Coturnix japonica: one gene and its partners. The protein of the gene in region 1 binds, or shares a complex with, the protein of each later gene. Links are inferred from orthologs where the notes say so. Each region holds a gene or a part of one and is shown on either strand. Other genes may lie near its edges. The genes, in order: PRPF8, SNRPD3, PRPF4, SNRPF, LSM6, TSSC4 and LSM5.

Region 1 (4,264 bases):
GCTATGAGCTCGTGGAGGAGGACTGGAAAGAGCTGTGGGAAGTGAGGATGGCTATTTCAGTGTTGCTTGGACTTGTGGCTGTGGATCCTGGGCAGAGGAGGTGCTAGTGGATCAGACACTGGGGGCTCTGCTCTCCAGCACCTATGGATGATGTGGTTGAACAACCAGGAGCTGCTCAGAGAAGCCCTGAAGGCTCTGGCAGCCCTGAGAAGGGAGCAGGGAGAATTGTTTCCCCTTTGCTTTTCTGGACGTGCAAACACTACTGTGTGTTTCTAACCTCTTAGGTGCTGCACCCTGCAGGGTCCTATTGCCTAAGGGACTCTGTTCTACCTCTGGCACTTCCCATGGGACAGCACCAGGCATCTCCAAGGCTTTGCCCTTCAGTCCAGGGCTGGTTAAAGCCAAATCCTGCACCTATAATTCCTCACAGAGGAGACTGTGCCAGGTGAGAGATGAAGGTTTGGACCTGTCCTTATCAGATGCTGCTGGCACTGGACTAGGGACAGTGGGAGCTTCAGTGCCATCCTTGGGGACAGGCTGCTAACTTCAGACAACTGGAACTTTTCTAGTGTTATTTTGTTCCCAGATCTATTAACTCCCTATAAGTGAGTGTGGGAGCACGTGAGCTGCAGGTCAGGATGATGGTGTGTGATAGTTGCTTCCTGTGAATGGGATGTTTCACATGGGTTAGATATGGGCATCTATGAGGAACCAGAAGTCTTGGTGTAACGCTCTCAAGCAGCAGCAGCAGCTCTTACTAACACAGGCTTTCAATAAACAGCAAACAAATCAGCTCAAGGCTTTAAAGGGAAAGGACTTTTTACACCCAATTTGCTTTTGAAGGCTGTGGAGCTGCTGGGGGTGCCTCTATCAGCAGCTCTGTGCCCACACAGCCACTGCTGCTCAAGGCTGCCATTGTCACCACGTTCCTGCTGTCACACCATTGCCACACACTGGGGACGTTGTTCTGAGCCCTAAGGGATGTCTCACAGTGCTGGCTCCATACAGCCTGCTGTATAGGAACACATTGTGGGTATGGCTTGTGTGTCCAAACTGAAGGATACAGGGCCCAGCTTTGGGATGGGAACCTGTGGGGACAGAGATGGGGCCTCTCTCTCTCTCTCACAAGGGATACCCATGTACAAAGGGGAGGCTGCCTGAGGAAACCCCCATACAGCCATATCTGCCCCTTAGGGCCCATAGCTGGGACAGCCATATCTGCCCCTTAGGCCTCTTAGGCCCCATAGCTACGGTATCTGATTGTCCAATCAGAGCCGGCGTCGAGCTGTCACCGCTATCCCTCTCCACCAATCAAAATCGGCAGAGGGCGGGACCGGAAATGAATAGGCATTCAACCGGTAGTGTACTCTAAACACAGCTTCCTTTCCTCTTCCGCACTTGATCCCGCCTCCTGCCCTCCCCGCGCTCTGATTGGCTATCCCCGCTGTCTGTGAGGCTGCCCCGAAAGCTGATTGGACGAGCCTTCTAGCCGCGCACCCCACCCACATCCGGGTCTCTCAGGCGCGGTGGTGGTGGGCTGCGCCGCCATTGTGGTGCGGGAGTGCGGGACGTCGCAGCGACCGGTGTGTGCGGGGGGGGCCGGGCCGCGGGGATGTGGAAGGGACCGGGAGGGGGGAGGAGGGAGCCGTGATCCCGGTTTGAGCCCCTTGTTCCTCAAATCTCTATGGAGATTTTGGGCAGGGTCCAGAGGAGGGACAGGAAGATGATCAGGGGGCTGGAGCACCTCCCCTATGAGGACAGGCTGAGGGAGTTGGGTTTGTTCAGCCTGGAGAAGAGAAGGTTGCGGGGTGACCTCATTGCAGCCTTTCAATACCTGAAGGGAACCTGTAACCAGGAGGGGAGTAAACTCTTGGAAAGGGCTGACAGTAGCAGGACACGGGGAAATGGTTTGAAGTTAAAAGAGGGAAGATTTAGGTTGGATGTCAGGGGGAAGTTCTTCACTAGGAGAGTGGTGAGGCCCTGGAACAGGCTGCACAGGGAGGTTGTGGATGCCCCGTCCTTGGAGGTGTTCAAGGCCAGGTTGGACGGGGCCATGGGCAACCTGATCTAGTAAAGGTGTATGTTTGGTGGCCCTGCCAGGCAGGGGGTTGGAACTACATGATCCTTGAGGTCCCTTCCAACCCGGGTCATTCTGTGATTCCTCCTCCACAGGTGTGTCGTCATGGCCGCCGTCTTCCCGTACCGCGGCGGCTGCGCGCCGGTACCGACCCCGATGGCCCCGCTACCTGACTACATGTCTGAGGAGAAGCTGCAGGAGAAAGGTGAGTACGGCCTGGATCCATCGCACCGCGCCCAACGGGACCGGCCTCACCTCATCCCGTTACTTCTGTGTCCCCGCAGCCCGCAAGTGGCAGCAGCTGCAGGCCAAGCGCTATGCCGAGAAGAGGAAATTCGGCTTCGTGGACGCTCAGAAGGAGGACATGCCCCCCGAGCACGTCAGGAAGATCATCCGCGATCACGGCGATATGACCAACAGGAAGTTCCGCCACGATAAACGGGTCTATCTGGGGTACGGAGCTCCCCATGAGGAGCGGTGCCTTCAGAATGGGGCTCTGGGGACAGCTGAGCTCAGACAGCAGCATCACAGCACAAGGGTGGCAGTGGGGTGCAGGAGAGGATGAGATGATGAAGTGTTTGCTTGGAGTTCTTAAGGCAAAATATCATTTAGAAGAGGTTTTGGGGGGAGATTGTGACCTAATCAGCCTTTTTTCCCTGTGATTAAAGTGTCGTGTGGGTGTCTCTGTGTTGTTTGTGCTCAGAGAACTGTCTTGTGTAAAGCAGGGTCTGTTGCGTTCATGTAGTTACCCATAAAAACTCATTCGGTGTTTTTTAGTATTATTATTACTGAATGTTTTTAATGCATAGCAATCTCTCTGAAGCCAACCAGTAGGAAAAGCCTTTTGGTAGTGGAATCTGAAGCAGAAGGATAGTTAAGAAGGCTTGTGGGTTCATCACAGAAGGCCTTTATGTGCAGGTTAGCTGAGCAGTTTTATGAGTGGGAGGTATACAGGTAACTGAACTTGCTGCAGACAGGTAATTGTTCTCTGGCGATGCCTTCCAGCTGTAATTTTCCCTGATTTCTGGTTGTAGTGCTTTGAAGTACATGCCTCACGCTGTTCTGAAGCTCTTGGAGAACATGCCTATGCCCTGGGAGCAAATCAGAGATGTTCCAGTCCTGTATCACATCACAGGAGCCATCTCTTTTGTCAATGAGATTCCCTGGGTTATAGAACCAGTGTACATTGCACAATGGGGGTAAGTGCTTTTTACTTAACTCTGGGGGGACACAATGAGTGAATAACCACACATCCACAATAAAGGCAGCATGTAATGTAATGGTCTCTGGTTTCTGCCAGGTCCATGTGGATTATGATGAGGCGAGAGAAGAGGGACAGACGTCACTTCAAGAGAATGAGATTTCCCCCATTTGATGATGAAGAACCTCCTCTGGATTATGCTGATAACATTCTCGATGTGGAGCCTTTGGAAGCAATTCAGCTTGAGCTGGATCCGGAGGAAGATGCCCCAGTACTGGACTGGTTCTACGACCACCAGCCACTGAAAGACAACAGGAAGTATGTGCCTGCCTGGTAACACAATTCACTGTGGGGCTTTAAGAAAATAAGCACTAAAATCTTCATGCACTACATAAATTAAATGTATGTAAAAGTGCATAACTTTTGCTTATATAATATTGGTCTATGCATGGTGTTGGTGGGATGAGAAAACCTTCTTTCAAGGATAGGAGGGAGAATCTGACTGCTGTAGTCATCCCTCTGTCTTCAGTGCTGAGGGAAGGCAATCAATCCCTCTCTGTCCAGGCAGGTTACTGCATGGGTAACTGGTAAAACTGATGTTTCTTGACACATGATAAGAGTGAAAACCTGGATCATCTAGCTTTTATTTGAGTTTATTAAATATACAGTGCGTTTACAAACTGGAGGCTCTTGAATCTTGTCAGTTTGATAATGGAGATGGAGGGGAACTGGCAGATGTAGTCCATGGAGATCTTCAACAAGCCTGTACATTTTATTTTTCTGCCTGGAGAGGGACAAGAGTTATCTATCCTTCGTATTTTCTGCAAATAGCAGAAAGGTAGAAGACCAGTTGTTTTGTGGCTGCAAAATTAGTGTCCTATGCTTTGTTTCTCTGCAGGTATGTGAATGGTTCTACCTACCAGCGCTGGCAGTTCACTCTGCCTATGATGTCCACGCTGTATCGACTGGCTAATCAGCTGCTCACT
Region 2 (4,108 bases), on another chromosome or scaffold:
CTCAGTTTGACTGTTTGCTCTGTAAATGCAGGTGATAACACAACCTTAAAACAACATTAAAAATTCTTCATGAAGAATAACTTCTAACTCTTTAGAGGGTAAATTACAGCAGTATTGAACAAAAAGGAAGCAAGATGATCTTTGAAACTCAATGCATCACACAAAAGTACAAAGAAATCAAATCCATGTCCACTGTTTTCTAGACAACGCACTTTGAAATCCACCTCCAACGTATTTGCCAGCTACAGAAAGAAGCCAGAACTCTATTGTGCCTAAGAGGAGCTCTGTCATATAACAGCAGACAGGGTTTTGTCAGAAACATTTATTAAACAGAAGTTACCAACATATATGTAGACAAGTTAAGAGCCCCTTTAATAATAATAATAAAAAAAAAGCATTTTGGTCAAGACCAAAATTATCTTCGCTTCTGGAAGATGTTGCCACGACCCATACCACGGCCTCTTCCTCTTGCAGCCACTGAAGAAAGAAAACATCAGGGATGACATGAATTTGATGCAACACATTTATCTCAACAAGTGACAAACCAAACATCAATAACTCTCAGTCTCTTCCTTAGAAGCACAGAAGTTAAGCTACAGTATGAGGCCTGGGAAGTGATAAAAGTAAATAGAAGTTTTCTGTGAAAACAACTGTAACTAACAACTACACAGCTTTGCTATTCATAACAGAGTATGCATTAAGAGCAATGAAATAGTAACACACCATTGTTCCTACTTTAAATTGTGTGAATCTGTAGCCAGAGAGATTTAAGACCTCCTGCTCTTCATACAGCGTGACAGAACTCGCTATATTTTGTCAGATGTTACTCCCCCACACATCCTTACTGCATTTGGTAGAGTTAACCAAGGGCTTCAGAGCCCATGATTATTTCTTGATCTTGTTATAACGAGACTGTTCACACAAAAAAGGTATTAAAGAGGATGAACTGCAGAATGGCTAACAGTTACTCATTTAAAAAACTTAAAGTATCAACCAAGTGTACGTATATGTGTGTGTGTGTGTATATATATATGTATGTATAAATATATATATATATATATATAAATATATATATAAATATATATTTTTTAAGCTTAAGAATACTTAGATCATCATACTTTGGGTAATCCAAACAGGCAGCAACCACATTTACAGAAAACCAAAGGTGAAGTTTTACCTAACTCTAGCAAGGCCACTTACTGTTCCTGAACTATCTGCAGTATCAGTATTGTGCATCAGTCTGAGTTTTGACTGCTGTCACTCATTCAGCTTCTTACAGCTCATCTTTGCTTAGTGTTAGGGATGAAAACATCTCAGTTTCTGTACAGCAAAACAGGAAGGTAAAGAGGGAACACCAGACCACAAACACACTGTACCCACCCTGAGCTTTGAGAATAGCTGCTTTTCCTCGGCCAGCTCCAGAGCCCTGGTTCTTATTCTTCATGCTCTTTAGCATAGGAGCGTTCTTCAGCATATCTGGTAAAATGAGAAACCGTATCTTGCTGCCTCTGTACACCTGCTCAAGCTGCGCCACTCGCCCATCCCTGTATGTCACTGTTATGTTGGACATCTGGAAAGTAAAGATCAGACAGTGGTCTCAAACACAGTTTGTTTTAAGTGGCCTTAAACATAGTTTTGTACTCCCACTACTCCTGCTCATGGAATATATATATAGCCAAGATTCAAGTAATAAACTCAAAGCCCTATCAAGCATACAGCCTTCAACTGTTATTGTTATATAAGGCATCTATAACCATTTAAACACAGTCTTAAAGCTTGCTAAAATTTAAGCAAACTCACTATTTTCCCCTCCTCCCCACTTGCTTAATTAGTTTTATTAGTTTTGTTTTCTTATTCAGATAGTTTAAATAAAGTTTTACTGGTCCCAGCTATTAAGGACATTTTTATTTCAACTACAACTTGCATGAAGTTATCAAAATTAAGGCTATTGCAATGCCTTAAAGTCCTCTGCATTAAGCACAGCTCTAAGCTCATAAATTAGAGTTTATTTATTATCAACAGGCAATAAACAAAGAACTGCTGAAGAGAAGGTGCTCACAGAGGAACCAGGAACAGGAAATCCCAATTCTGAGCAATTTGGTGTGCTCAGTAATCTGGAATTCACTTCATTACTGTAAGTGCACAGAGTAAAAGGGCTTTATTTATCCTAAGACTAAAAGTAAAAGGTCTTTAAATCCCGCTGTCAGTCTGCTGAGTGCAACCACTTCCAAACAGATGAGATAAACTTCTTTTACCTGGCAATTCATGTTGTCCTCAGCCTCAATGAGCTTCCCACGATACACCTCCCCAGTGTTGGTCTCGCAGGTCACAATGTGGCCCTCTGCCTCGTGCAGGACTTTAATGGGCACCCCGATGGACATGGCTGCAACACTGCGGCTCTACTCCTGGGACAGAGAGCACAACATAGAAGTGAATAAAGGAAACAAACTCCCAGTCGTTCTGCAGTTCGGCTTTGCCTACAGGAGCCGATTTGCTCCATTGAACAAAGGCCTCAGTGCTTTGGCAATACACGCCTATCCCAAGGCCCGGCCCAAGGCTGAGGGCAGCCCACCCTCTCAGCCCACATCTGCCGCCCTACGAAGCTGCAGGCACATAACAAACCCCCACAACAGACCCACCCCATAACAAACCGACCCTATAACAAACCCCCACCGACACTCACCTCCCACCAACCACCCTAATGGCCGCCGCCTTCCCGCCGTGCACAGAGCCCCGGAATCGGAAGGGCACAGGAGCGGATCCTGCTACTGCTCCTGTCCCTCAGGGTCTCGCTGCCTTATCACGATGGTTCCGCTGCACTTTTGTTCCTCCCGAAGGCAGCTCCCTCCCTCCCAGCTCCGAGCAGCCGCTTCGGGGTCCGCCCCCTCCGCAGCCGGGAGGAGCCGTCGCCGCAGCAGGGCATGGCGCGGCCCTAAGTCCGGCGGGGCGGGTAGTGAGCGGGCGGCCGCCGTCATGAGGAGCCCCCGGGAGCCGGGGGAGCCCCCTCCGCAGGCAGGTCAGTGACAGCTCCGGGGCCTCGGATCGGGGGCGGCCTGTCAAGCACTTGGTGGAGCTGAGAGTGCTCCGCCTTGTTTACAGCCGCGGGTCGGGCCGTGACAGCTCTGTTGGGGGTGGGGATGAGAAGCGGGCAGCGCTGGGCCTGGTTGTTACCTTTGAAGTCATAGTGTATGGAGAACAGGGACATCCACAGTGAGTTGTGGTGTTAGAAGGCCCTGGATGGTAACAGAGAATGGACCTGCTCATAACACAGCTCATAACACACCGCCAATGCTTACATTACTTCCTTCAAGCGGGATTTGAGGGGCTGTTTGTCCTTCTAAAGTATAATCAACATTGCTAACAAACACTGAGTACACCAATGGGTGTGTGCCAGCTTTCAAAGTTATGATTAAACCCAGTGACGTGATTGAGAAAGTGCACCGCGTTGTTGCTGCAATAAGCCGTAACTCAGTGAGAAAACAGTTTAAAACTGCAAGACATTGTCCATAAAGTTTTACATATAAAGCTGTGTTGAAACTGCAGCAGCCCCCAGGATGCTGAATGCTTTTTATCCCCATCTGAAAGCAGAGCTGACTCTGTGTTAGCAAAGGTTTCCAAGGGTCTGTACCAGATCGAAGGTAAAGTCATTAAGAAAAGCCTTTTATGATTAACTCACTTGGATTGTCTTTGAAGTTACAATGCCAAGCGGAAGCACTTCAGTCCATCAAGCAATCTGGGCTTTGCTGAAACTGAAACCACTACTACTGCCTGTAAAGAAATAACAAAGGATGAATTACTGATATTGCAGATTTTCTTGATATAGATTGGGTTTTGTCTCTCTTCTTTGGCCCTTTTACAGATGGTGTCATTTGTGAGCTGTCTTACCTTAAAAAATTACTCACAAAAAGACATGGCAGTAGAAGAGGCTGAAATCCATAGGGCTTGTAAGAAATCACTGCCTAGAGATCCTGGTTGTGTCTGTTTTTTACCCATTTGACCTATGACTTTTTGTTGGCACAGAATACAGAGCTGAGAACAAGCTGAATTGGAATGGTGAAGTACAGAAAAACATTCCCATATAACGACTGACAGCTTTTACATTTTACTC
Region 3 (3,042 bases), on another chromosome or scaffold:
ATTTGTGAGACAGCTGAAGGAGCCGGGACATGAGATGTGCACTGAAACATCCTCTGCAAGTGGAAACAAAGGAGATACAGGCCTCTATGAGACCAACCTGCAGAGGAACTGTGGTACGCTCTCCTCTCACAGCTAACTCTGCTTTATTTTCAGAAGACAAAGACTGCTGTTAAAGCATCCTGGAAAACAAGGTAAGAAAACAGAGGACGTACAACACAGTACATGAAGTGCTGTGTGAGCCCTGCACTAGTGCGAAACAGACCAGAGCAAACACATGAGCCTGTCTTGGAAGGGAGGTGGAAGAAGGTGGTTCATCTCCAAATTACTGCAGAAAACCACTATCTGCAATACAAAACAAGTCCTAAAAAGTGGAAGAACATCATCCCAGCTTTGACTCCAACCAAGCCCTGGTCAGCACAGATGCTTCAAAACCACCTCAGCCAGGAAACCAAGAGCTACTGAGCACAGCCACTGCGATACATGTTGCAACAGCCAATTCCTTTCCTTTTAAAAAAATTTAATATACAAAAACCCAGCTCTTAGTTCTAAGCCATTATTATCGTCTCTGTCCCAGTTCATCATCAGTGCCTCTGAGCTACTCTGCTGTCCACAACTTGAAGGTTCTGTCATAGGAGCACGTTGCTATCAGCTGGCCATCGAGGGAGATGTCCAGTCCCATCACCTTTCCCTCATGACCAGCCAGTGTTTTCAGAGGGGACCAGCCAGGGTGAGTCCAGATCTTGGCAGTGTTATCATAGGCGCCTGTCAGCAGGAAGTTACCGTGATTGGCTGCAGTTGAGGGAAAAAAAGGGAGAAATTAGTTTTGCAAATAAATACATGACAAATCTTCTACCACTACTCACTACTGATCCTCCGGATCCAAGGATGTGATTTTGAGTTGCCCCATTCCCTGCCACCTCAGTAGAGAAAAAGCAGGAACATGGAACATCAGACAGGAGATACTTACGTTCAAATTTCACCCCAGTCACCAGGTTCTGATGGGCAGGAATGGTGTAGATGCACTTTCTCTGCCGGAGGTCCCAGACCTTGCAAGTATTGTCACCACTGCCAGTTGCAACGTGGTATCTGCCAAGGAAGAATGTGTTGGAAGCTGAGCTTTGTACTCAGAGCTCCCACACAACACATGCAAGCTCCTGTCTTACCCATTTGGGGAGAAGTTAAGTCCATAGATCTCCTTCAGGTGGCCTTCCAGAAACATGATACAGCGCCCGGTGCGCAAATCCCACACGCGGCCAAAAGCATCCAGTCCACTGAGAAGAGAAAACCCAAACAGCATCACCCTCCAGACTTCAGCAGCTGACAGAACACCAGTACTGTGGCTTTTGGAATCAGTGAGCAACAAAATCTTGGTAATGTTTCTCATACAGTCCTGATGCAAACAAACTCACCCCGTCCCAGCAAGAGACCCGTCCGTGTGAAAGGCGATGTCATAGACCCCTTTGCTGTGCCCCTCCTGATGGAGAATCTCTTCCTGGGCTTCCAAGTCCCACAGGCGCCACGAGTGATCGTAACTTTATAACAAAGAAAAAAAAGCATTAAAATCTGATCACATAATCCTATTTGAACTGGGCACACACACACCAGCTGTCAGGACATTCACTCTGCCTGGTCCATTGAGCATTAGGAAATCACAGCCAGAAATGAAGCTATAAATTCAGAAACGCAAAGATCCTCAGCACGCTCCTGGGAGAGCAGGGAGCTTCCCCACTTCCACATCAGTGTAGCATCCTTAAAGTTTAAGTGTTGCTCCCTTAGCACTTGAAATCCCCTGAGCAGCAGCAACCATTTCTGCTTCTGGAACTGGACTTTCAGATCACCTTTGTACTGTTTAGCTCCGGTTCAGTCCCCCTCTCCCTCAGCACCACTGTCCTCCTCAGACCACCTCCTGTCCACTGTGTCCAACTGGGTCTCACGTGAGGTGCAGGGAAAGGAAGGCTTTCATGAATCCCAGTGACTGTAAGTAATAGCATCTTAAACAAGCAAAAAAAACCCATCAGAATCCCCTTACCAGGTAGTGCCCAGGAACCTGCCGGAAGGGTGCCACATCACACGTGCCACTCGCATGTTGTGGCCTTCAATATCTGCCACTGGTTCGTCACTGAAAGACACAAGATCAGACACTGGTCAGGGTGGCTGACTCAAGCCAAACCTTTGCAGCTGTGACCACAGTGAGACAGACTTTAATGCAGGCCAGACAAGAAAGTCAGTGTTCTGACTATTGACTCTAAACACTGCTTTCTGCTCACACAGCTGAAGCTCTAAGTGAAAGCCCTTTATCCACATTCATAACCTCAGCAGTAAGTTCTCCTGGAACAATTAGTTTCAAAAACTGACAAGGCCCTTCATTAATCTGAAAGCGTCAACAGCAAAAACTGTCTTTGCTGTCACTACACAGAACATCCCATACTGCAGCAAACTCTGCTATGCTGAAGAAAGCCAGGGCAGGCAGGATAGAGCAAATATTTATTCTCCCAGAGCTATGTGCAGCAGCCTGCAGTGGAAGAGCAGAACAGTACAGAGAATATCTTTGCAGCAGACTAAAGAAATGTGGTCACGTGAGACTAATAAACAACTGTCTTTCTCTGCTCAAGGAGGCTGGGAATTGCACTGGTGTTACAATAACAGGCTGTGTTTGCCAGGAGGAAAGTAAACGTCCATTATTTCATAAGATAAACCCCAAACAACAACACTGCATCTATACATGCCACTCTGACCTTTCAAGGCTCCAGAGTTTGACAGAACCATCAGCTGCACACGAGGCCAAGTTAACATCCTTCTTGTCGAGGGAGACAGTGGCTTTGGGATGGAAGACTATTGCTCCTACGTTGGTGCTGTGTCCTTAAGAGAAAGGAAAATCAAAATCCAAATTACAATTCCACTGGCACCCATTTAAGAATATCAAACACTGAGATTTGCAGCCTTCTAAACACAGTGAAAATTCACCAGATGTGAGTGAAGAGATTTGTATTTAGTTGTGCCCACGTTCAGAGAACCTCATTGGTACTACGTGGTCTGACCAAG
Region 4 (2,836 bases), on another chromosome or scaffold:
ATTCCCCCAACCTTTCTTCATAGGAGAGGTGCTCCACCCCTATGATCATCTTAGTGACCCTCTTATGGACCCATTCCAAGAGTTCCACAGCTTTCTTGTGATGACGGCTCCAGGTCTGGGCACAGTACTGCAGATGGGGCATCACAAGAGCTGAGCAGAGGGGGACGATCACCTCCCTCTCCCTGATGGCCACCCCTTTTTAATGCAGCCCAGCACACCATTGGCCTTCCAGGCTGCAAGCACACACTGCTGGTTCACATCCAGCTTCTCATCCACCAGGACCCCCAAGTCCTTCTCCAAGTCATGCATCAGAGGAACTGACTATATGAAGAAAAGAATGTAGCTGGTCCTGTACTTCTTGGTACACAGCTTTCCCAACACAAGTAGGAGACATGATAAAAGTTGGTTCCAAACCTAAAAAGTGCTGTTTACAGACAAAACACTCATATTGTTCTATTGTCATTCACATATACACCATTAACAACTGTCAGAAAAGTGCAAGTCTTCCATGGCCTTTAACCCAAAGGACTCATGCTGAGCTCATTGCATTCTGACGCCTTGTATGTTTTCACTCCAAGTTCTCTATTCTTTGCTGCAAGGGGCATGAAAACCGTCCATATACACGATTTCCCACATTGTTTATTATTTCCTACATATCCTCAGCACTAACTTCCTTGCAATAAACTTATAAGCAATTCTCTTTCAACTGGCGCCCAGTGAGTTTTACTGTCAGAAAGAAAAAAAAAAGCTTTATTTTAACGTTATCTCTGTTCCCCAGCCAACACATGAGGACAAACACATCCATTATAAATTATCACAGAAACAAATACGAGTGCACTTCAGATAAACATTTATTAAGAAGAATCGTAATTGCTGCTCTTATCCTATCCATCCATAAAGGTAGGGATGTGAGGGGGGACATTCTGGATCTGCAGAAGACACGGTGTGAGGCAGCCGGGGGCTGAGGGAGAGGTGGACAGGGAAGGGGAGGAGAGGGATGGAGGGGCAAAGGCCTAACAGAGCAGAGCGGCGGCACAGTGCTGCGCTGCCACCCCCCGGCCACCACAGACGACACAACCAGAGGTGGTATACGACCATTGGCTGGAGCAATGAGGAGGGCGGCCATTCCAACTAATAAGATTGAGCCCACAACCCCTTTTCCCTTCGCGCTCCGTGGCTCCGTAGCCAATCGCGAAGGCGGCGCGGCGGGGTGAGAGGTTGGAGGTCGGCGCGGCGGCACGGAAGTGGAAGTGGAAGGTATCTCAGCGCTGCCTTCCATTCTGCCTCAGCCCGCGGCGCGCACGAGGCGATCCCGCCTGGCTCTGCGCTTCTCGGGCCGCCATCGCGCCCCATCGCCATGGTGAGGGCAGGGCAGGGCAGGGTGGGGGGAGGCTGTCGTTAGCGGTTGGGATGGCGGGCGGTGCTGACCATTGCTCTCCCCTAGAGCCTGCCGCTCAACCCGAAGCCCTTCCTCAACGGGCTGACGGGGAAACCGGTGATGGTGAAGCTGAAGTGGGGGATGGAGTACAAGGGATACCTCGTCTCCGTCGACGGCTACATGAACATGCAGGTGAGGGATGGAGGGAGGGACCCGGGCCTTGCTTGCTTGTGGGAGGGAAGCAGTAGTGAGGCTCCTGTTGGTGTAATGTTTGTGCTGATTTTCGTTCCAAGCTTGCAAACACAGAAGAGTACATCGATGGAGCACTGTCTGGACACCTGGGAGAAGTTTTGATAAGGTAATCGTGGTGCCTGAGCTGGGGAACGGGGTCTTGTGGGGACTTCTGTGTCTTGTGTTACTGCTTTGTTGAAGCTGGTGGATCTAGGGGATGTGCTTGTGTTTTAAGTTGAAAGAGGGAAGATTTAGGTTGGATGTTAGGGGAAAGTTCTTTACTAGAAGAGTGGTTAGGTCCTGGAACAGGCTGCCCAGTGAGGTTGTGGATGCCCCGTCCTTGGAGGTGTTCAAGACCAGGTTGGACGGGGCCCTGGGCAACCTGATCTAGTAAATGTGTATGTTTGGTGGCCCTGCCAGACAGGGGGGTTGGAACTACATGATCCTTGAGGTCCCTTCCAACCTGGGTAATTCTGTGATTCTGTGTGATTCTGTGTATTGGAGCACTAAATGCTGCTGTAACTCCCATGTGAAGTGAACATTGTATTTGCGAGGGAAATTAAGACATTTCAACTAAGGGAGCTCTTGATTCTATTTACAGGTGCAATAATGTTTTGTACATCAGAGGTGTGGAAGAAGAGGAAGAAGATGGAGAAATGAGAGAATGATGATTTGTATATCTGGAAATAAAGGGTTTTTTTTCTTTTTTTTTTTTTCTTTTCCACAACGTTGTCATCAGGTGTTTATTTTGTTCTTGTATTTGACTATGGGGGGAGTTCACCCAGAGGCTATAAAGAGTCATGAATTTCAGTGGCATTCATAGAGCTAAAACAGCCTGTGGAATGGGAATGCCTGATCTCAATCTGCAGTATTATGGAAAGAACACACAAAACACTAACAACAGGCCACTCTTTGTTATCAGGCATCCAGATAACTGAAGTTTTGGCAGGAACATAATTGCTTTCTCAAATGTTAAGAGCAACCATTGACATTAACCGAAGCTGTTCTGTACCTATCAGCATTTCCTAAAGGTAACCATTGCTTTGCTGATGCTGCTAGTCAGAGCCTCCCCTTGTGAAGGATCTACTTGCATCTCTAGGCTGGAGAGAGGTTCTACAAGCCAAAACACAAATGGCTGTACCTCATGGATTTGTGTGTGACTTTGCGCTGTCTCATCAGTGACCATTTGTCTTACATCTATTCTCAAATACACAGGTATACTTTCAG
Region 5 (4,123 bases), on another chromosome or scaffold:
CATTCAAGACTTAGCAATAGTAGACGAGCCCCCAGCTTCCATCATTAAGTTCAGCTGGTAAAGGCCACAGCAACTCTTCATGTTAGAACTTTGTCACCATTTATGTTTGAGGTGAAGAAGCTATAATGGAAACTTTGTGAGCTGCGAAGGACTGAAAACTCCCATTGTAATTTATGACCTTTCATCTGAGGCCAAATGTAAAGGCAATCACAATTGTTCTATATCTCAAGGCTGGCACATAGCAGATGTATGAAGTTTGGAAGTGTTAGACATAAACTTTTATTACCAAATTATAAATAATTTCTACCACTTACAATGTTCACCTTTCAAGTTCATCTTGATTAAAACACACGGGCAGAATGTCACTGATTTCAATGAGTTTTATACAGCTGGAAAAATGCTCTCTGCTTTGTGGAACGATAAAGCAATGCCATATTTTAAAGAATGTACTGATAGCAACGCATGCAAAGTTTTAGACCCAAATCCTTTTTCATCTAGATGACTGAAGCAAAAAGAAGAACCATTAAACAGTGGGTCTCATTTTTTCACACTCGAAGCTTTGAAATCTGCGAGGAGTCTACAGAATGGATTACATAATTCCTTTGAAAACCACCTACCTGAGCACTGGGATTGTGTGACTCAGGAAACAACACATTCTTTAGGTTGTGTATTTACAGTTGTGATTACATTATATAATCTTTGTGAATAAGCAAGAGAGAAATTTTCTTTCCCAATGCAAAACCCACTACACCAACATGCTCAGCAATGTGTCCTATTGCACAGAGGTTCATTTACTCAGTACAGCATGGAAGACTGTTTCAAGGCTTATACAGAAAACCAGGACAAATTTGCTAAGGTGTGGGTTCATGGCTCAGCCTCAAGCCATAGAAGTGGCGAGCTAAGGATACAACGTTGTCCATCTCTATTTCAGTCTTTCGGAATACATATGTTTGTAAATTTAGGACTAAAAAGGAAATTAGAAGGATTTTGTTGACTGGCATCAATGAACCAAGTATCCATAGACAGAAACGATAAAAATAGACAGAAACTATAAAGATAAGTTTAAAACGGACACAGATGAGGTTTTGCAGAGGTCAGGCCACAGCTGGGTGCAGAAGCAGAAAGCTGCTCCCCGTCCTTTGGCAGCAGGTGATCCCATCCAGCTCCTCCCTGCAGCGATAGAGGCGGCGCTACTCAGTGCAGCCACAACCCGCCCCGCTTTAGCGAGCGCGCCCGTCCCGCCGTGTCCCTGCCGCCGCGCCGTACCGCCCGCCGCTGATTGGCCGCGAACGCGGGGCCGGGCGCGCGTAGCAGCGGGTGAGTGTGAGCGGCGTTGTGTCTCGGCCCGGCCGCAATGGGGCACCGGGCGGCGGGGTGCGGGCCGGGCTGTGCCTCGGTGCGGGGAGCGGTGCGGAGGGACCTTTAAGCCCATCCACTTCCAGCCCCCTGCTGTAGGCAGGGACGCCTCCCTCTAAACCGGGTTGTTCGCATCCCCATCCAGCCTGGCCTTCAATGCCTGCAGGGTGGGATGTGCTGCTTATCCATATATCGGCTTTCACATCTATTCCCAGCGTACCGACACAAATCAAGATGAGCCTACGGAAGCAAACTCCCAGTGACTTCCTAAAGCAGATCATTGGAAGGCCTGTTGTTGTAAAGTTAAATTCTGGAGTCGATTATCGAGGTAAGATTCCACCTTGTCTGTGCAGTGAGATGTCCTGCTCCCTTTAGGCTGAGCCTCTCCAATAGCTCAGCCTCTACAATTATTTCTTTATCTCAGTCTTCGTTAAGTTTGGATGCTCTTATCATGCCTCTCCCATGAGGAGACAGGTGTTTTATTCTGGGATGATTTAAACGTTATGATCATGCCAGACATCGCTACTTCAGGTAGGTTTAATTCAGTTGGCTCATCTTAGTGCTCGTTTGTCCTTTGACAAGGAATCTTGGTGTTTGGACACCAGCCCAATGTCATACAGGAGTTATTTTCCTTTCTTTGTTTCCCTCCATTCTCCCTAACTCCCTCCTGGTGCTTACATTTGAGAAATGCACACTTCATTTCTCTACAGAAATTCGATCACTTGTATAAACCAAACATCAGGAAACCCAGCATCTCAGGCTTTTGTTGCAGATCTCTTCAGATTCTGCCTGTAGGCTACCCTTCTCATTTTATGTTTGCACCTCCACCCTCCCAGCCACTGTGAGCACAGCAGCTGCCTGGTTCTCACGTTGGTGTGCAGCTGTAAAATGTCTTGGTTCACTGCCAAGCGCTGTACTCATCTAAGAAGTCCTGGCAAAGTGCACGTGTAATCAGTTGTACAGATGGATATGAATGTAAAAACATTGCTGCATACTGATAAAAAACAGGCAAAATATGAGCCAGGGTGGGCAGCAACAGTATGTGATGCTATTAGTATTCTGGGAGTAAATACAAAGAAAAGAAAGACAACAATGAAAGAAATGAAGATGCACCCTGGCCAGTTGAGTGATAGCTTAAAAAAAAACCCCACAGCCCAACTTCAGCTTGGGGCAAACATTTGTTTTCTGTGGCATCTTGAAGCACTCAGGATTACTGGTGTGAAAATGTTGTCACTGACTTGGCTTGGAAGGTTTTGGTGTATTTAAAACACTTTGTGGCCAGACAGAATTTCCCCATTTATGTGGAAACAGGGATGAAAAACACATACAGGAAAATACCAATCCTCAAGCCATTACAAGTTGGCAAGAAAACTTGAATTCCTAATTATTTAATGGAGGATATTACAGTAACGCTTCTGGAAAATGAGAACATACCCTGGAGGAAGATTCTCAGACTGGAGTTCTCCCCCTCCTCAAATACAGCCAATGTACTGCATGTCTTCAGTTTTAATAGCAGGTAAATTAGATTCTTGTCCATTTTGGTAGTTGTATTTTTAATAGTGGTGTCTGTGTGCAAGGAGGAAGTCAGGAAACACACACAAACAAGATGGAGATGAGCAGCTTGTTAGAAGTTGTTTTATGTATGCAATTAGCAAATTGCATTGTGTACGTATTGCATTTTCTGAGCAGTTCTTCACATCCGTTAATCCCCACATTTAGTTCACTATGTAAATGTTCTGTTTGTACATCACTTAAATTTGGCTGAAGATTTCAGTGTCATATGAAAACCCTTTCCCCGTTGAAGATGTAGAATTGATTTACACAGAAATCACGCTGGCAGCCCATGTTATTCTGTCTATAAGAATGAAAATCACAGAATCACAGAATTGTAGGGGTTGGAAGGGACCTGTAGAGATCATCGAGTCCAACCCCCTGCCAAAGCAGGCTCCCTACACCACGTCACACAGGTAGGCGTCCAGGCGGGTCTTGAATATCTCCAGAGAAGGAGACTCCACAAGCTCCGTGGGCAGCCTGTTCCAGTGCTCTGTCACCCTCACCGTAAACAAATTCTTGTGCACATCCGTGCAGAACTTCCTGTGCTCCAGTTTCTGGAAAATAAATCAGAAAAATGTGCGTGGTGTCCTGTATTAGAAGGGTTATTTCTCACATATATCCTTGATGAGCTTTGGTCAAAACTCAGCTTGTAGCCTTGTTCTTAGGCTGCCCAGTTACACTTTATGTCACAGGTTCTTCTCAGGAGTTGGGCATAAAACAAAAGTAAAAAGCAACAACTAAACTTTCAGAATGGAAGATGTTCTCTTTCAAAGTCACGTCTCAGTGAGTTCTCCCCACCCAGTCATGTACAGGACCTGGAGTTCCCTACTCTCAGTTTAGTTCCTTTAATGCTCTCTGGGCTGCTGACTGACTCACCTGACCACATTTGGAAGTTTAGTTTGCTATGAAGATACAATTTTTTTCCTTGTACTGTTCAAATGCAAAGCCGTTTTGTTTAGTTCAGAAATAAGCTAAAGTTGATTCACTTTTAAACTATCACTCTCTTTAGGTGTCCTGGCTTGCCTGGATGGCTATATGAATATAGCTCTGGAACAGACAGAAGAATACGTAAATGGACAGTTAAAGAACAAGTATGGGGATGCATTTATCCGAGGAAATAATGGTAACTCCTCCTTCTTGTGCTGTATGTACTTTTTACAGCGCTTCTTTTCAGTGCCTGTGCTTTTCCTCAGACCTGGATGAGTTCTGTTCA
Region 6 (4,298 bases), on another chromosome or scaffold:
CCGCTCATGTTCAAACAGAGCACCCAAAATGTGGTGGTGCGAGGCCAGGCAAATCCTGTCTTACACATGCAGTGTCCCTAACAGAAAACAACTGCAGGTTCTCCCTACAGGTTGGCAGTAACTTTGTCATTGGGAAGAGTCAGGTTGATACCTGTCTTCATTAAATATATTCCCTCCACATGAGTTGATTTTTTCATTGCTCACTTAGCAGGATGAAAACTCCAATGTGAGTACACAGCACTGGAATAAGTCAAACCTGCTTGCATGTGAGCCAGAGCCAAAAGAAAGCATAAAGTAAAACAGGTAAGCAAAAACTGATGTAGGAGAAAGGCAGTGTTAAGCACCAAATCCTGGAAACATCCCACTGGGTTTCAAGGATATTTATAGGCTTTCCTTCTTGTAAATGGGAGAGGTCAGGTGATTATTTCCCCCAGCCTTTACTCATTCTGGCTCGGTGCAACTGCAGTCTTCCAGCAGAGGAGGATGTGCTGTGCAACGCTGTGCTTGAGATTTTTACCTACAGGAAAATGCTCCTTTCCTTCCCTACTTCCCCTCATGAACTCTGGCATCAAGCTGAGCATGGCCATACCAGACTCATGTCCACAGTTGTTCTGGGCGCATGAGATGGAGAAAATACATTGGATCGCTGTGCTTGGCCTTCAGTATCACAGTGGCTGCCGGGGAATTGCCTGCCAGTTTCCTACAGCCATGAAGAGAAGGACAGGCAGCCTCTCCCAGGCTCCAAGTGCAGAAGCCTTCAGTGCATAGGCTGGGGCTGGAGCCTGCCAATTGAGCAGCGGAAACAGTCACCGGATAGGGGCCAACAGCAGATTTATGTGCAAGAAAGGAACACAAGGCTCCCAGCAGCAGGGCTGAACGGAGACGCACTGCTCCCTGCAGAGGCACAGGGCAATCTCTGCACAAGAGCTAAGCCTGCCCCAGGCATAGTGTACTTGTTTGGAAGATGTCCTGTGATGGCACACAGAGCCATGTCGAGTCCCGCACCCCTCTTCAAGCCATCTTAGTTCACGCTGGCTAGGGCTAGGCTTTACCATCTGTTCTTCTTTAGGATCTGACTCATTATTTTTATTTCAGCTGTCACCAAGCAATAGCAAAAATCCCAACACAACAGCACATTCACCATCGTGAATTGCCTTGTCTGCAGTCAGCAAAGAACAGCTCATCCCCAGTTCTCTGCAGTGTGTGAGACTCACCTTCTGCACAGCGACAGGAAAGGAGTAAAAGGATACAGACAGCTGATGTAGTAACCTTAGCCATCAGCTGCATCCTGACAAAGAAAAGCCCAACCCCAGATCCATGGCTTATGCTGCTTGCCTCCACCCTTACAAAAATAGGGCATGACCACGCTTAATGCACATCCTTTCCCTGCCTGCTGCTGGTATGCCCAGACAGCATTATGCAGCAGGCTCAGCCCTCAGCCACTGTCTGTGTCTCCCCTGCCCATTGCCTGTCTTTGCCTGTGACTCCTGTTTCTGCTCACACGCCAAAGGACCCTGCTTTCCTCTCTCTTCCCTCCAGACAGGAATCCATCTGCCTGTGTCTCCGCTGTACATGTATATATGTTTAAGGAAAGGCTTACCAAATGGGGAAACACCTCTAGAGCCTCTGCTTTAGAACTTAAAGCTTTTAGCTGAAGAAGGGGGAAAAGAACCAGATGGCCTCAGCCAACACCAATAAAACATGTTCCGACAGAATTCCACATCTTGACACATGAACAAAAAAATGTTCTTTTGGGACAGAGGATGGAAACTTGCTTTTGGCCGGACACTTGTCTCACACCCCAGTGACTGAAGGCTTTCTGGTTATAAAGTACATGCAAATAAAAACTCCACGCTTCCTCTGAACCGCTCGCTGCTGCCAAGCCCAAGAGATGAGGAAAAAACCAACGCCTGACTTGTTTTTTCCACGCGGTTTGGATGAGGAGGGGCCACCCCCGACAGCTTCACAGTCTGCAAAATGGAGGGCGAGCTCCTGGGAGCTGTAGTCCGGCCGCGTCGCTCTCAAAATGGCCCCCAACGGGGAAAGCGCAGACAACTACAACTCTCAGGATGCAAAGCGAGGTGACGCTAACGGGAAGCAGGGTTGTACTTCTGCTTCCTGCACTTCCCCACCTCCACCTTCCTCCGGGCTTGCGCGGCTTTGGGGTATGGGGCGTTTATTCGGTGCTGGGTGTGAGCGGGGAGGGGGGGGGATCCCGGTCCGGGGAGCTGGGTCCTAGGTTGGCAAGGAATGCGGTATATGGGCCCATGGTGCAGGGTGCGGCGGTGGGTTGTGTCGTAGTGCTGTCTGTGCGATGAGAATGGGGTCGAGATTTGGGGTGACGGAGCTCTGTGTTTGCCTCCCAGCTGCAGGAGGGTGAGCAGAGCCAGCAGAGCAAGGCCAGGATGGGAGAGGCTGATGGAGAACGTGGCAGCCAGAGAGACACGGGCCTGTGTGTGCTGTGCAGTGCCCACGTTGCTGTAATGAACGTGTGAGTTTGTCTGGTGTGTTGTCAGCATCTGCGTGTTTGGTATTAACACTGTTAAATTATTCTTCCAGTAGCAACGTTTTCCCTTTCTGTACAAATGCTCTTAGCAAAGAGGTGCCCTCATTCATAGCCTGAAACATCTGTTTTGCTCAGCCCTGCTTTTTGGTGTTTCTTTTGAGTTGCACTCGTTTCTTTCATGTGTTATAAAACTAAAGAGAAAGGTGCAGGATCTTCAAATGATTATTTTGCATTTGGGGGTTGCACTAGAGGCCACGTTTCAAAAGCAACGGTGTCAAAACACAGCCAGACTACACAGAACACAGCATTCAGGCCATTCAGTTCTTTGCAAGCTTCTCCACATACTAATTCCTCATGCAGATCTGTCCCCAGTGGTGAATACAACCTTTCTTTGCAGGCATCTCTGTGGTGTCCTGGGTCTCTTTCCTATTGGCATGTAGTACCTGCAGTGCATATCTGGTACCTTCTTGGCTGCAGTTAACACAGTACATTTACTAATAGTTTACTGCATGTGTAAATTACAGCTTTGTTTTGTTTTTTTTTAAAGCCTCTCTTCTGTTGTAGAGAATAAGACTTGGCTTTGTGAATGTGGAGACTGAGTAACTGTGGTGGAGCCTGTCCTATTAGGTTTGTGCTGTTCTTTTGCTAGTATTCAGGATTATCTGAAGACTTTTTTATGCAAGCTTGAGCTTGTGTCAGATTTAGAACTCTGCTCTGTAGCTTTGGGTGACTCAGGGAGAAAGAATTATTTTCAAAACTCTTTTTAAAACTACATTTCCAGTATCTTGATGGAAATGTTTGTTTTCTAGGGTGGAAGTGCTGAGATCTTTGGTGGCTTTAACTGACCCTCAGGAGGGGAAGCTGACTCAGTCTCAGGAGAAAGTGAGTGACCAGCACACTTTCCATGTCTGTTTACTGCGGCTTTTCAGAAGAACCTATAATTGTGTAGTTTAACTTAACCTAATAGTAAATGAGAACACTTTCCCTAATTCACGTTTTGGAGAGCTGAACTGAAGTGTATTTTTGCCAAGTCTATTTTTGACTGCCCAACAAGCAGTGGTGTTTCAGCCTGTACTGTACTGGAACTCAGGGTTCAGGTCACTGTGTCTTTTGATTGACCAAATGGGCAGCTCTTGCTGACCATTGCTTGCACCCTCCCCTTGTTTCCAGTGTGCTCACACAAGCATGGCATATGCAATTATTTTTCATAATCTGTCTCAATTCATTTCTCACGCTCACTTATCATGTGATTGCAACTATCTAGTAATAACGTAAAAGCTTAAAGCCAAGGAAGGAGTGCACCTTGTACTTTGTCAGTTTAAAGCTGACACAGAACTGTAGCTCTGAGACATTACAGGCTGTTCTGACACATTCCTTGATCAGCAGCAGGGCCCTTTTTAATACGTAGAATATGATTGGGGACGGATGTGAATTGGCAATGAAGAATTGCAACAGACAAAAGAGATTAGGATTTGTTTTTATGGATTTATATGGTATGGGTAAATGAACGGTGTACTTTGGAGAGTCACTGCTGTTCTTGGAAGAAGATATGTGGAACAGTTATATTCAAAAAACTTATGCTCATCATTTAGCAATTGGTCTTGCTGTTACCTTCAGTGAAATTCAGTGCATCACTATTTATAATTACTTTGCATTCTTGTACTGAATTTTGTGGAAGTCTTTAATATTAATGTGCATCTGTTCCACAGCAATGTACTGTGATATAGCAGTAATCATTATCAGGCCTGTCCCAGAGTGATGGTCATACGTGTGATTTTCATTGCGCAGTTGA
Region 7 (4,075 bases), on another chromosome or scaffold:
ACGCATATTTAGCAAAACCCAGCCATGCTTCTGACTGGAGATCCTGCGCCTTTTTTAAGGGCACATGTTACAACTGTGCCATAAAATTACTGAATCTGACTCAAAAGCACCCTGGGTCTTTCTCTTTTGGAAGTGTGCTGTTCATTATTAAGAAAATATAAATGATTTTTATCTTTTTTCCCCTTTACCTTTGTTTACCTTTTTAATATTTCCTTTTATATTTACTCTTAAGTCTTTTATTCACAGGAAAATACTTTGCTGGCTTGTTTCCTACTGTCTATAGAAAGGTTTGGTCTTACATGTATACATATAGCGGCTTTGCTTATCACTAAAAGTCAGGAAGAGCAAAAAAGCTTCTCAGCATAACAATGGTCTGGAGAAGAATCAGTTGAAGAAATGCTTCTTGAAATGCTCTTAAAAACAAACTGTAGAATTTCAAGATTCACCTTGGAATGAGTAACAAGGACAAAAAAATGTATGTTCTTTAGGAACTCCTTTGTTAAAATAATATAAATAATAATAATATAAAATAATTATTTTACCCACACAAGAAGTCAGAACATGCACAATGCATTAAAGATGCAGAACAATAACCGAAGCAAGAAAAGGTTTTGAAATTAAGTCAAAATAGCTTTTACTCAGAAGGGTGAGATAGCAATATGGGGATTATTCCCCATTCACACAGAACAGATAGACTCAAGTCAGCCTTCCACTTGTCTTGTTAACAAAATCATGAACTGCCTTATGCAGGAAGTCCAGATTTTGCACCCATCTGTGCAGGAAAGCAAATGATGTACTGTGAGTCTGCTTTTGTGGTAAAGTATCTACAAAGATGCAGAATTCACTTAGTGATGCTCAACTAACTACAGTATTGTTTCAGTACTGATCTATACACATCAGCGAGTAACAACCAGAAAGTGCTTCTGATTTGTTATAGTCCAACAAAACTCCACCTTATTATTTTTTTCCAGAGCATCCGGCATCACATGATAATGATTAATAATAGTCAAGTAACTTAACAAGCTTATAAGTATCTGAGCTGCTGCAAACACACCTATACATAATGGATGAACTGCAGATGTATCCCAACCCACAGACTTACACAGACACTCATGAGTCAAAAGCCACTTTGTCAACCAAACTCGTCCAAAGATTCCCTCACACACCTTATGAAAACCAAAAAAGCATATACCAAAACTATAGTCATGCCCATGCTCCTCTTTTCATGCATTTTAAACCATAAAATATATGAAATATAGCAATAAGATCACTTTCCCAGCATCATTCATAAACCATATGCCTTAGAAACTACTCAAGTAGTTGAATTCAATCAGATTTACAGGTAAAGAAACACAAGCAGACTATTTACAGTGATGACTTACCATTGTTATATTATTTCCATTTAGCAAAATCTGGTCTAGTTTTGTGATTCTTCTGCCTTCAGGTGTGATCTCACTGAAGCAATATTAGAAAAAAAAATATGAGCATGCAATCATCAACAATGAATAAAGTTCTGATTACAGCACCAATGCAAGTCCACATATTAAGATGACATTTACTGGAAATAACACTGCAACATCATCTTGATGCACTGACCCACTAGGCAGGGAAAGCTACCTGGCAACTAAACAGATTTGCTGTATTTTTTTGTTCAGCATATAAAGACACAGATTTGCCCTCTAAAACTTGGCATTTTTTTCAATAACAATTCAAAACTGCTCAGTTTATAAGTATCTGTGATAGCACAGACCTTATACCGCATTCTTTCTCAGGAAACCCAAGTCTGAATAGCAATGAGAGACAAAAATAATACTTACAATTCTGTAACATCTTCTAACACCATATCTGAAAGCTCAGTTTCAAGGAAAATAAGGCCCAGATTTCTTTTCATAGAACTTGAAGGGACTGTAAAGCCCACCCAGTTCCAAATACAGAGCAACCCCTGCTGCTGGTAGGCTGCACCCACTAGATCAGATTGCCATGGGGCCCATTCAGCCTGGCCTTGTACACCTCCAGCAACAGAAGCATTTGATCATCTTCACAGCCCACCTCTGCAGCTGCTCCAACAGCTCTGCATCCTTCCTGTGCTGGGGGCCTCACAAGGGCAGTATAGAGATGGGCAATTTATTTTACACCAAACTGTGATTTTAGCGATAAAAAAACAAACAAAAACCACTAACGAGCAAAAAACCGATACCAAACAGCTTAATGTTCTTAACAATAAACGAAATGATTTTCCCCATGAAGCTAATGGCCACAGATAACACCCACCAAAGGATACTGACAAAGTCATCAAATCCTAGCAGAGTTCCAACAATTTCCTTATCGCTCTTCATCACGATATGAATGCGAGAACCTATACATTTGTCCACAAGCTCTGTAGATGTTAAAAACAACAAAAGTGCATTAGTGTATTTGCAGGAAATCAATCAGCCCAGAGGTACCCTCCATCATCTCCGACCGACTGGAAACAACAGCAACGCTACACCCGGAGCACGTATTCCCTCAACACGAAGAGGGGTGAATTAATTTTGTTACATCCCGATTTAGTTTCTCGCTCATAGATCCCGATTTAGCCCCTGTTGCAGCCTCTCCCACCCCGGTCACAGCCTCCCTCCCTCCCCGCCCGAGCCCACGCGAGAACCCGCCGGCAGCGCTGCCCACCGAGCGGCAGGAGCTGCGAGGGGTTGGTGCTCGCGTTGGCCGCCATATTGCCGCCAGAGCTGGCCAATGGCTGCCGCCTCCTGAGGAAGTAGAGGCTGTGGCGGGCGGGACGCAGCCCTGAGTAGCGGCAGGCAGAGCGCTCGTTCTACCGCCGTGTTCTCCTTTGGGCTCCGACCGCAATGGGAATTCAGTTCCGCTCCTGTTTATACACACTGCCATGTCAGGTGGCAGCCTGTCTGACTGCCCTTCTGCTGCCATCGGTCACAAGGCAACAAAGTATAATGGAATATAACGGCAGGAAGGTGTAGCCCCTACTGCCATACCAACATCCACCTCTGATGTCATGGGCCAGCATAATAAAACAGGAGGCGTTAGTTTGAGAGCAGCTCTGGTATATATGGCTGAGTTTTTATTGGTATCTATTAGATATACACTGAGAAAGAAAATTCCAGCAGGATTCTTTTATTTCTAAGAGCTTCTGCTTGATTGCAGCTCTACCCTTCCTTCTTATCATTCGCTTGCTAGTTCTGGATTGTTCCTTATAGCCTATCTTTTGCCCCCTAATGTATCTAATTTTAATAAAACCAAGCACTTTCCTATATCAGTTTCATCGCACGCTCCCGCTCGGCGCCCACCGCACAGAGCACAGAGTGGAGGGCGGGGCGGGCCGGGACACAGCGCGGCTGGGGGCAGGGCGAAGGGGAAGAGGGCGGCCCCGCTCCGCCTCCCCTCGCCGGGCTCTGCGGAAGCGCAGTCGGTTGGGGTCCGTCCCTTCGGCCTTCGGCACCAGGAGGCGGAGCGACAGCCCGGCCTGGGCGGTATCCTCCGGAGCGGCCATCGCCGGGCTCCATGGAGAAGCGGGGCGCGCCGCCGGCCGCCCCTCCGCGGGGCCCGGTGTTGCATATCGTGGTAGTGGGCTTCCACCATAAGAAGGGCTGTCAGGTGAGGGGTGTGAGCGCTGGGCCCCGGGAGCGTGCCTCTGGTTCTGGGCTGGGCGCTGCCTGCAGCGGGCTGGGGGCCGGTTACGAGCCCCTTGCTGCGATCCCCCGCCGGTGCGGGCTGTGGGGGGCCCGGGGTCGGGCTGGAGCGGTTCCGCGGGGCTGTCTGGAGGGGACGGGGCCACCCAACAGCTGTGCGTTACCGGCGCTCAGTGTGTCTTCAAGGCCCGCTGTGTTTCGTAGGTATTCTGTGCTCTCGTTGCGTTTCCTCCTTTGCTCTCTAACTAAATCTTGGCGAGGCTGTTGCAGGAATGATTTATTTATTTATTTATTTGAGACTGAGTATATAAAATGCCATTTGATCCAATCAAACGACTGGTATTCAAACTCTTTTCTTCAAGTCTTACATCAAGAATTACATCTGGCATTTAAACTCCTGCAGTCATTCCACGTTCTGTGACTGGGCAGTATCT

Evidence for each region.
Region 2: PRPF8 (region 1) and SNRPD3 share a complex: the UniProt entries of both Homo sapiens proteins name them as parts of the U4/U6-U5 tri-snRNP complex. The link is inferred for Coturnix japonica from reciprocal best matches to the Homo sapiens genes PRPF8 and SNRPD3.
Region 3: PRPF8 (region 1) and PRPF4 share a complex: the UniProt entries of both Homo sapiens proteins name them as parts of the U4/U6-U5 tri-snRNP complex. The link is inferred for Coturnix japonica from reciprocal best matches to the Homo sapiens genes PRPF8 and PRPF4.
Region 4: PRPF8 (region 1) and SNRPF share a complex: the UniProt entries of both Homo sapiens proteins name them as parts of the U4/U6-U5 tri-snRNP complex. The link is inferred for Coturnix japonica from reciprocal best matches to the Homo sapiens genes PRPF8 and SNRPF.
Region 5: PRPF8 (region 1) and LSM6 share a complex: the UniProt entries of both Homo sapiens proteins name them as parts of the U4/U6-U5 tri-snRNP complex. The link is inferred for Coturnix japonica from reciprocal best matches to the Homo sapiens genes PRPF8 and LSM6.
Region 6: the proteins of PRPF8 (region 1) and TSSC4 are in contact, whole or in part, in a cryo-EM structure (PDB 7PX3), measured with the Homo sapiens proteins. The link is inferred for Coturnix japonica from reciprocal best matches to the Homo sapiens genes PRPF8 and TSSC4. Residues at the interface, in NP_006436.3 of Homo sapiens: Thr2087, Asn2088, His2089, Ile2090, Tyr2091, Val2092, Ser2093, Ser2094, Asp2095, Lys2108, Leu2111, Lys2112, Glu2184, Thr2219, Pro2220, Thr2224, Leu2225, Leu2262, Leu2263; in NP_001284587.1 of Homo sapiens: Pro153, Asp154, Tyr155, Glu160, Arg161, Trp162, Thr163, Lys164, Tyr165, Ser166, Leu167.
Region 7: PRPF8 (region 1) and LSM5 share a complex: the UniProt entries of both Homo sapiens proteins name them as parts of the U4/U6-U5 tri-snRNP complex. The link is inferred for Coturnix japonica from reciprocal best matches to the Homo sapiens genes PRPF8 and LSM5.

The regions. Positions count from the first base shown.
Region 1 is NC_029534.1:4,156,542-4,160,805, reverse strand, and holds the start of PRPF8 (pre-mRNA-processing-splicing factor 8), read left to right. Parts: upstream 1-1,464; 5' UTR 1,465-1,583; intron 1,584-2,172; 5' UTR 2,173-2,182; coding exon 2,183-2,282; intron 2,283-2,361; coding exon 2,362-2,530; intron 2,531-3,111; coding exon 3,112-3,276; intron 3,277-3,377; coding exon 3,378-3,596; intron 3,597-4,176; coding exon 4,177-4,264. UniProt on the Homo sapiens protein: Plays a role in pre-mRNA splicing as core component of precatalytic, catalytic and postcatalytic spliceosomal complexes, both of the predominant U2-type spliceosome and the minor U12-type spliceosome.
Region 2 is NC_029530.1:7,447,982-7,452,089, forward strand, and holds the start of SNRPD3 (small nuclear ribonucleoprotein Sm D3), read right to left. Parts: upstream 2,801-4,108; 5' UTR 2,684-2,800; intron 2,406-2,683; 5' UTR 2,382-2,405; coding exon 2,256-2,381; intron 1,571-2,255; coding exon 1,381-1,570; intron 478-1,380; coding exon 416-477; 3' UTR 1-415. Other genes in the region: protein GUCD1, read left to right, coding at 2,806-3,016. UniProt on the Homo sapiens protein: Plays a role in pre-mRNA splicing as a core component of the spliceosomal U1, U2, U4 and U5 small nuclear ribonucleoproteins (snRNPs), the building blocks of the spliceosome.
Region 3 is NC_029532.1:810,397-813,438, forward strand, and holds the end of PRPF4 (U4/U6 small nuclear ribonucleoprotein Prp4), read right to left. Parts: intron 2,860-3,042; coding exon 2,736-2,859; intron 2,120-2,735; coding exon 2,030-2,119; intron 1,533-2,029; coding exon 1,410-1,532; intron 1,272-1,409; coding exon 1,164-1,271; intron 1,087-1,163; coding exon 968-1,086; intron 790-967; coding exon 596-789; 3' UTR 501-595; downstream 1-500. UniProt on the Homo sapiens protein: Plays a role in pre-mRNA splicing as component of the U4/U6-U5 tri-snRNP complex that is involved in spliceosome assembly, and as component of the precatalytic spliceosome (spliceosome B complex).
Region 4 is NC_029516.1:41,570,194-41,573,029, forward strand, and holds SNRPF (small nuclear ribonucleoprotein F), read left to right. Parts: upstream 1-1,203; 5' UTR 1,204-1,357; coding exon 1,358-1,360; intron 1,361-1,444; coding exon 1,445-1,570; intron 1,571-1,671; coding exon 1,672-1,736; intron 1,737-2,210; coding exon 2,211-2,277; 3' UTR 2,278-2,336; downstream 2,337-2,836. UniProt on the Homo sapiens protein: Plays a role in pre-mRNA splicing as a core component of the spliceosomal U1, U2, U4 and U5 small nuclear ribonucleoproteins (snRNPs), the building blocks of the spliceosome.
Region 5 is NC_029519.1:27,572,512-27,576,634, forward strand, and holds the start of LSM6 (U6 snRNA-associated Sm-like protein LSm6), read left to right. Parts: upstream 1-1,323; 5' UTR 1,324-1,512; coding exon 1,513-1,684; intron 1,685-3,919; coding exon 3,920-4,033; intron 4,034-4,123. UniProt on the Homo sapiens protein: Plays a role in pre-mRNA splicing as component of the U4/U6-U5 tri-snRNP complex that is involved in spliceosome assembly, and as component of the precatalytic spliceosome (spliceosome B complex).
Region 6 is NC_029520.1:10,938,695-10,942,992, forward strand, and holds the start of TSSC4 (protein TSSC4), read left to right. Parts: upstream 1-1,498; 5' UTR 1,499-2,165; intron 2,166-2,177; exon of another isoform or gene 2,178-2,267; coding exon of another isoform or gene 2,268-2,285; intron 2,286-2,366; coding exon of another isoform or gene 2,367-2,491; intron 2,492-2,511; exon of another isoform or gene 2,512-2,530; intron 2,531-3,053; exon of another isoform or gene 3,054-3,133; intron 3,134-3,315; coding exon of another isoform or gene 3,316-3,388; intron 3,389-4,298. UniProt on the Homo sapiens protein: Protein associated with the U5 snRNP, during its maturation and its post-splicing recycling and which is required for spliceosomal tri-snRNP complex assembly in the nucleus.
Region 7 is NC_029517.1:78,884,433-78,888,507, reverse strand, and holds the start of LSM5 (U6 snRNA-associated Sm-like protein LSm5), read right to left. Parts: upstream 2,801-4,075; 5' UTR 2,711-2,800; coding exon 2,665-2,710; intron 2,378-2,664; coding exon 2,282-2,377; intron 1,846-2,281; coding exon 1,818-1,845; intron 1,456-1,817; coding exon 1,383-1,455; intron 1-1,382. Other genes in the region: late secretory pathway protein AVL9 homolog, read left to right, coding at 3,514-3,606. UniProt on the Homo sapiens protein: Plays a role in pre-mRNA splicing as component of the U4/U6-U5 tri-snRNP complex that is involved in spliceosome assembly, and as component of the precatalytic spliceosome (spliceosome B complex).